Linked DNA regions of Ovis aries. The protein of the gene in region 2 purifies or fractionates together with the protein of the main gene of each other region. This does not show direct contact. Links are inferred from orthologs where the notes say so. Each region holds a gene or a part of one and is shown on either strand. Other genes may lie near its edges.

The links.
Region 1: the proteins of EEF1A2 (region 2) and VARS1 purify together in Homo sapiens (co-immunoprecipitation; 3 studies listed by BioGRID and IntAct, counting the BioPlex papers as one, with this or other methods). This does not show direct contact. The link is inferred for Ovis aries from reciprocal best matches to the Homo sapiens genes EEF1A2 and VARS1.

Annotation. Positions count from the first base shown.
Region 1 is NC_056073.1:26,623,046-26,627,470, reverse strand, and holds part of VARS1 (valine--tRNA ligase), read right to left. Parts: coding exon 4,338-4,425; intron 4,245-4,337; coding exon 4,136-4,244; intron 4,044-4,135; coding exon 3,949-4,043; intron 3,719-3,948; coding exon 3,628-3,718; intron 3,431-3,627; coding exon 3,306-3,430; intron 3,223-3,305; coding exon 3,119-3,222; intron 3,040-3,118; coding exon 2,881-3,039; intron 2,767-2,880; coding exon 2,676-2,766; intron 2,549-2,675; coding exon 2,443-2,548; intron 2,358-2,442; coding exon 2,287-2,357; intron 2,198-2,286; coding exon 2,072-2,197; intron 1,783-2,071; coding exon 1,678-1,782; intron 1,596-1,677; coding exon 1,527-1,595; intron 1,389-1,526; coding exon 1,310-1,388; intron 1,185-1,309; coding exon 1,057-1,184; intron 726-1,056; coding exon 570-725; intron 493-569; coding exon 286-492; intron 203-285; coding exon 91-202; intron 1-90. UniProt on the Homo sapiens protein: Catalyzes the attachment of valine to tRNA(Val).
Region 2 is NC_056066.1:53,857,193-53,860,741, forward strand, and holds part of EEF1A2 (elongation factor 1-alpha 2), read left to right. Parts: intron 1-621; coding exon 622-801; intron 802-1,251; coding exon 1,252-1,548; intron 1,549-1,914; coding exon 1,915-2,065; intron 2,066-3,101; coding exon 3,102-3,358; intron 3,359-3,549. UniProt on the Homo sapiens protein: Translation elongation factor that catalyzes the GTP-dependent binding of aminoacyl-tRNA (aa-tRNA) to the A-site of ribosomes during the elongation phase of protein synthesis.

The DNA of each region.
Region 1 (4,425 bases), on a different chromosome or scaffold from region 2:
ACAGGTGAGGAGATGGAAGACGAGGCAGTCATGCTAGACACTGGTCCCGGGGTGGGAGGGAACAGGGGAACGTGTGGGCCCAAGGCTCACAGTCGGGCCTGATCCGGGTGAGGTTGTAGTCGGCACGCAGGGAGCGCACGGCTCGAGTGATGCTCAGGGTCAGCTCGAAGGCAGCTTCTGCCTCAGGGTCCTTCCAGGAGCACTGAGGGGAGGAGAAGGGGGTAAGGAAGCTGGGGCAGCTCTGAGGAGCTCCCCAGAGCCCCGTATCCAGGCCATACCCCATACCTCCGAGGGCTCTGGGTAGGCGGTGACGCATAGGCTAGGGGGAGCTTGTGGTGTCCGCCGGGGCAGCCGCTGGAACAGCTCCTCGGTCACGAAGGGCATGAAGGGTGAGAGTAGCCGCAGGCCCACGTCCAGGCAGGTGTAGAGGGTCTGGCGGGCGCATTCGGCTGCCACTAGGTCTACCCCATTCAGCACGGGCTTCAGGCACTCCTGGGGACAGAGGGGCACAGGGTTCAGGGCTGGAGAAGGCCAAGGACCAGGAAGTGGGGCAGGCAGCTCCTCCTCACCAGGTAGACATCGCAGAGCTCGTAGAGCCAGAAGCTGTATTGGGCGGTGGTGACAGCCGGGAAGTCGTAGGCCTGGAAACCTTGGCTGCTGAGCCTCACAGCTTCGGTCAGCCGGCTGCGGATCCAGCGGTCCACCAGGCTCTCGTGGCCTCCAGGCTTGCGGGGGGGGAGAGGAGCCTGTCAGCCAGGGGGCACCATGTGCCCAGGAGGAGGGGCCACAACCCCATGGGAATGGGAACCATGGGGAATCTGCATTCCAGGAGGAGATGGGTCCAAAGCAACCACCACGTGCCCAGAGTGGTGGCCCAGGCCAGAGAGGGCCGGCTGCGCCACTGTGCGGGAGGACTGCAGTGCCTGAGGCTTCCCCTGTGTCCTGCTCCCCCAGCTACACGCAGGCTCCTTAGGGCAGGGGCCAGGCTTGATGCTGGGATGGCAAGAGTGTGACCCACGTGGGTGCTGCCCACCGCACGGCCCACCAGGCTCTCACCTCGGACGTGGGCGAGGGCACGAAACCCTTCCCAAGGCCACGGAGGGCAAACTTGGTGGCGTTCCAGAGCTTGTTGCAGAAATGGCGGTACCCCAATATCCGGTTCACATCCAGGTTGATGTCACGGCCTAGGCGGAGGTGAAGCGTGAGTCTACACTGCTCTCCCTCCCAGCCCTGGGCCCTGGGCAGCGGAAAGTGGGGTGCCTCCGGGGAGGAAGAAGGATGCAGCTAAGACTGCCGCAGGGAGCCATACCCTGGGACGTGTAGGCGCACAGTCCAAACCGGAGCGCATCGGTGCCACACTCAGGGATCCCCGTCGGGAAATCTGCCTTCTGTGGGGGAAGGAAGAGTCAACGGAGAGGGAGGAATCAACAGAGGAGGAGTCAAGGAGGGGAGTGTCCTAAGCCAGTCTCACCCGCCTTCTGCCCACATGCCAGCCACTGGCCCACCCCTGTATCTGCCCCCTGTACCTGCCCCTCTTTTGCCTTCTCCACCTCGCTGGGATCCAGGTTGCTGTTCAGTAACTGGTCGTGGAGGCCCTGAAGGTGACGTGGGAGCAGTCAGGGGCCCGTGACCACTGCCCCACAGCCCTTCCCGGCCTGACCCAGCACCCAGCCCCACCTGCAGGGAGACCCCATGGATAACGTCCAGGGGGTCAATGACGTTGCCTAGAGACTTGCTCATCTTCCGGCCGTGGGCGTCCCGCACAATGGCATGGAGGTAGACCTGCGAGGTCAGGGCAGGGAAGGCCTGTGAGGACATCTCCCCACCTAGACCCCAATGCCTCTCCCCTCACCCCTACATCTGGTCTGCTCCTCTCTGAACCTCGGGCCCCTCAGCGGCCCCGCCAGCCCCTTCTCGTGAATCAGAAGTGCTCCCTCTTCTAGGAAGCAAGGTACAGAATTGCTTAGCAGCGCGCAGGCTGGTTTGCAGCCCCACCAGCCTCCTTGGCTGAGCCCACCCACAGCTGTCCAGGTGAGGGAGGGGACTGTGGGGGTAGCGGCAGTCTCCACACCTCTTTGAAGGGCAGCTTGCCAGTGAGCTTGAGGCCGAGCATGACCATCCTGGCCACCCAGAAGAAGAGGATGTCATGGCCTGTCTCCAGCAGCGTCCCCGGGTAGAACACATTCAGATCTTCTGACTGGGGTCAGAGCAGGGCATGAGTGATGGGGAGCCACGCACCCACACCCAAGATTCCCACCCAGCCCTGGGCTGGCCCCAGGAATGTACCTGGTTGGGCCAGCCTAGGATGGAGAAGGGGAAGAGGCCAGAGGAGAACCAGGTGTCCAGTACATCTTCATCTGAGGGGGGCCAGAGGTCAGAAGTCAGAGGGGTAGAGGTGAGGATCAGCCCCCCACTGCCCCCCACCGCACGGCCCTGCCTTGCCTTGCTGGAGACTGATCTTGTCAGGGGACACGCCGAACTCCTTGGCTGCCTTCTCCCGGGCCTCAGCCTCAGTGCGCCCGCTCACCCAGTACCGCCCATCAGGGTCCTGCCATGCCCAGGTGGAATGAGTACCCAAGAGGGCACCTCTGCCTGTCCCCCCACCAAGACCCAATGCACTGAAAGCCCTCCCCAACCCCAGATGTGCCAGTCTCCAGCCCCGGCCTGGTTCTCACCTCCCCTGGGGGCACGGCAGGGTCGTTGACAGTGATGAAGTAGGCTGGGATGCGATGGCCCCACCACAGCTGCCGGGAGATACACCAGTCCCTGAAAGTGGCAGAGGGAGGAGAGGGCATGAAGGAGGGGCGGGCGGGGCGCCAGGGTGTGCCCGGCTCGGTCCCTCGCCTGGTTGCCCTCTCTACATCAAGGGGCTTGACGCACCGGATGTTGTCCATCCAGGCATGCCACGTCCGCTGATGGGCCTCCGGCAGGATACGGAGGTCACCCCGTGTCACGGCAGCGCTGGCAGCCTGAGCCATCTCCCCACAGCGCACGTACCACTGTGGCCGCAGCAGAGGCTCCACCACGTCCTTGGAGCGGCTGCAGGTACACGTGGGTGAGGAGGCTGAGTGGGGAGCACCCCGAGGCGCCCACCCCCTGCCCTGGCCTCTGCCCTCACTTGCAAAGTGGCACCACCATGGGGTTGTCCTCAATGCCGCGGAACAGCCCCTGCTCCTTGAGCGCTGCCAGCACTGCCTTCCTGGCCTCAAACCTGGGCAGGCCCTGTGGGGGAGACAGGCTCCGTCATGGCTGTGCCAGGAGCCCCGCTGTCTCCTGACATGGCTACCTCGCCGAGGCTGTCTCACCAGGAAAGGTGGGGGCACGTTGACGAGGGCCCCGCGGGCGTCCATGATGCTGACGGCCTCCAGCCCGTGCCGCTGCCCAACCTCATAGTCATTCTGGTCATGGGCGGGGGTGATCTTCACCGCGCCTGGGGTGTACGTAGGGGTGCAGGGTCAAGTAGGACTCAGTGCAGTCTCTGCTCACGTGCACCCCACCTTTTGCTAATGGATGTACTCTCAGACCACCCCATCCCCGACACAGTCCCCTGAGAACCGGCCCAAGTCCTGCAAGTTCAGGTGCACCTCATGGTTCCTTCCTGTCCCCACAGGACAGCCCAGCGCTTACCTGTGCCGAACTCCATGTCCACAAAGTCATCAAAGACGATGGGGAGGCTCCGAGACACAAATGGGTGGATCACGCTCTTGCCCTTCAGGTGCTGGGGACAGAGGGAGACGCCAGAAACGCACAGTGGGCTGGGCCCGACTCCCTCCTACGCAGGGTCCTGATTTCTTGACACCCAAACTCCATCCACAGGGCCAGAAAGCAGCCAGAGCCATGTGTTTCGAATCCAATTTTCTCAGTGCCCATCCCATCCCTACACATAGTGTAGAAGCCCTCCTAGCCCAGCATTCTTCCCCCCAGCTGCGGGCAGCACCCCCACCACACCTGGTATCTGGGGTCTTTGGGGTGCACAGCTACAGCCACATCTCCCAGCATCGTCTCGATCCGAGTGGTTGCCACTACCACCTCGTCGTCGCTGTCTGGGGTGACAGGAGGCCTTGTGGTCTCAGCAGTGCGCCCTTCCTGCCCCTCCCCCAACCCAGCCCAGGATCCTGGTGCCCCTGGCTCCTACCTGAGCCTTGGACCTTGTAAGCAAAGGAGACGAGGACCCCAAACTCCACCTTCTCTTTGTAGCCAGGCACGGAGAGCAGGGTACGACCTGTCAGCTCCTTCTTATCCACCTATGAGACAGAGCTTAAGAAAAGAGGCCCAAGGGCTGGGGCTGGGGGGGTGTGGTGGAGATGTGGAGAGCTGGGGGGAGGGAAGGGGCACACCTCGATGTCAGAGATGGCAGAGTTGAGGGTGCAGGACCAGTTGACAAGGCGTGTGCTGCGGTAAATGACTCCCTCCTCGTGGAGCCGT
Region 2 (3,549 bases):
ACCTCAGCCCTGGCCCTGAGCGTGGGGGTCTTGCTGTGCACGCGGCGCAGGTGTTGGCAGAGGGTGGCCCGGCTTTGCTTCCCCTGCTCAGGTGAGGCGGGGGTTGGGGGAGGAGCCTCAGAGCCACTGGGGAGCTTTATCTGTAGAAAGAGCTGGAAAGCCAGGCCCTTCCTTGCGACCTCATCTGATTTCTTTCTTTCTTAAAAAAAAAATCACAGAGGGGTTTTTTGGTTGGACAGTGTGAAACCCAGTGGTGTCGTCGGCTGACACAGAAATCTATCTGGGGGAGGGGAGACTCTGGCTTCAGATAAAGGGGAGCCCTCAGCCAGGGGAGGGCTTGAAACCGCCCGCCGCTTCTCTCCCAGGGCGGCTCCCAGGCCCTTGCGCCCCCTACTGGTGGATGCTCAGATGGCGCCCGTTGTGACTGCAGGAGGCTGGTCTGGGCAGGCAGGGATGAGGTCTGGGTGTCCCCCGCCCAGTTCCAGAGCTGGGTCCAGAGTCCCCGGTCTCGGCAGGAGCAAGGGCCCTCTCTGCTGTGACATGCTGCTCCTATGGCCCAGGGGGACCCGTGACCAGGCCGTTGGGTCCGGGTCGTCCTGAGCCACGCCTCCACCCCTCCAGATGGGGAAGGGCTCCTTCAAGTATGCCTGGGTACTGGACAAGCTGAAGGCAGAGCGGGAACGCGGCATCACCATCGACATCTCCCTCTGGAAATTTGAGACCACCAAATACTACATCACCATCATCGACGCCCCAGGCCACCGCGACTTCATCAAGAACATGATCACAGGCACATCCCAGGTGGGCAGGGCTTCGGGGGTCTGGGGGATCTGGAGGTGGGGCAAGGACACCATTTAGGAGACCCTGGGGGCCCTAGAATGAGCGGTGGTTGGATTTCCTCTGCTTCCTCACCAGGGCATGAGACCCCTCACCTTTGTCACCACTCACCCCTCAAAGAATTGAGTAAGCGCCCCAGCATCTCAGCCAGACAAGAGTGCCTATAAGGTCAGCTGGCCACTGTCAAGGCCGACTTCACAGACAAGTGGACACAGAGGCCAGGATGGGGACACTGAATGTAGGCAGAAATGCACCACCTCCCCGCCCCAGACAATTCAACATCGCCAGGGCATTCACACAGACACACACTGCCTCTAAGGGCGAGACCCCCAGGTTCTATCCCCAGGTGACTGCCCAGGCCCATGTCCACTGCCCTGAGGGGCCCAAGCTCACCCTGCCTGACCTTCCGGACAGGCGGACTGCGCCGTGCTGATCGTGGCTGCAGGAGTGGGTGAGTTTGAGGCAGGCATCTCTAAGAATGGGCAGACCCGGGAGCACGCGCTGCTGGCCTACACGCTGGGCGTGAAGCAGCTCATCGTGGGGGTGAACAAGATGGACTCCACGGAGCCCGCCTACAGCGAGAAGCGCTATGATGAAATTGTCAAGGAGGTCAGCGCCTACATCAAGAAGATCGGCTACAACCCGGCCACCGTACCCTTCGTGCCCATCTCAGGCTGGCACGGCGACAACATGCTGGAGCCCTCACCCAACGTGAGTGCCCGGCAGTGGCAGGGCTGCTCTCCAAGGGCCCTGGGTCAGGACGAGCACAGATGGCCAGTGGGGGTCAGGGAGCTGTCCCCAGGCTGCCCTCAGCCCTATGACTGTTGTACTAGCCTTCTGTGGGTGTTGGGCTGGAACTACAGCCTCCTTGGGTACAGGCACTCTGCCCTCAGCTCAGTTTCCCCAGGAGGCTGGCCCCTTCTGCTGCAGCCCCTTCTCTGGCCAGGGACAGCCCCAGATTGACACTGTGGGGGCAGTGGCCGCAGGGGCCCAGGCTAATCTGCCCACTTCTGGCTGTGGGGTGCATGGGGTTGGGGGAGGTGGGCGCTATGAAGGTGCCTTCTTCTTCCTGCCCAGATGCCCTGGTTCAAGGGCTGGAAAGTGGAGAGGAAGGAAGGGAATGCCAGTGGCGTGTCCCTTCTGGAGGCCCTGGACACCATCCTGCCCCCCACACGCCCCACAGACAAGCCCCTGCGTCTGCCACTGCAGGATGTGTACAAGATTGGCGGTGAGTGAGGTCCACATGGCCACTGCCCGCTGCATTGCCCCTGCCCACCTGGCCAGCTCGCCCTCAGACCCCCTCCTGAGAACCGGCCCCAGACCAGGAGCATCCAGGGCCCAGTTATTTCTGCCCCTCCCACCATGCTGCACACTTTCTGGGGGACCATTCATCCACCTGTCTTCATCCATCCATCCATCCATCCATCCATCTGCTCATCCATCTATCCCAAGACTGCCGGGGTCTTCCTCCCTCCAAATAAGTGTCAGCCCTATGCCAGCACCAGTGGCACAGGGAAAGTCATTTATCACCCTCCACCTGGAAGTCTCCGTCTTGCAGGAGACACCATCCACTCTAGGAATGAGAAGAGCTGGTCACACAATGATGCAAACACATAAACAAGTGTGAGGCCCACAGGGGGCCACAGTGGGGGACTCCCAGCCAGGAGTCTGTGGCCAGAGATGCTGAGGACCTGGGTGCAGGTGGAGTATCACACTCACCCAGCACAGAGCACAGCCATCAGCCTCCTTAATGCCGCAGGAGCCTCTGCCACAGCCAGGGAAGCCAGGCTCGAGCCCCCTGCCCCCTGTCTTGGGGGGGCATCACACCCCCACTGTTTGGCCACACGGCGTAAGCAGATCCTGAGAAGTGTGGGGGCACCATGCCCCCTTGGGACTCACCCCTGAGATGGCAGCACCAGTGCCAGGTGGGCCACCCCGGGGGGGCTGGTCCACAGCCCGCTTAATGATGCTGTCTCACAAGGAGGGCCCCATGCTGCCTCCTGTTGGGACACTTGCCCCTGGGGGTAGAGATGGGGCCTCTCCTGCCTGTGTTCCCTGTGTTCTGGGAACTTGCTTCCTCAGGCACTTTTACTCCAGATGGGGCAGGAGAAAGATCTCCACCTCTGTCTGTAGGTCCCAGGGTCCGCCTTGCCCAGGGCCTCCCATCCCCTCCCTCCCACCACATGGCCACTCCCTGCCTGCTAGGGAGGACAGGGCACCCCTGGCCTCAGCGTGCCCTCACAGCCCCCTTCCTCTCGGCCTAGGCATTGGCACCGTGCCTGTGGGCCGAGTGGAGACAGGGATCCTGCGGCCTGGCATGGTGGTGACCTTTGCACCCGTGAACATCACCACGGAGGTGAAGTCAGTGGAGATGCACCACGAGGCTCTGAGCGAGGCCCTGCCTGGGGACAATGTCGGCTTCAACGTGAAGAACGTGTCAGTCAAGGACATCCGCCGGGGCAACGTGTGTGGGGACAGCAAGTCTGACCCACCCCAGGAAGCCGCCCAGTTCACGTCCCAGGTGGGCAGCCCGGTGGCCAGCAGGGCCTACCCCAGGCAGTACCAGGGCTATCCTCAGCAAGGGGGCTGCTGGGTGCCAGGGAGGACTGAGATCCTCGCTTTGCAGAGCAGGTCCCCAAGGACAGGGAACCTTCCTTTGCAGGCAGGAAGAGCGGGCAGGGTGCTCCTAGCCTCACTGAGTCCCCGCTCTGG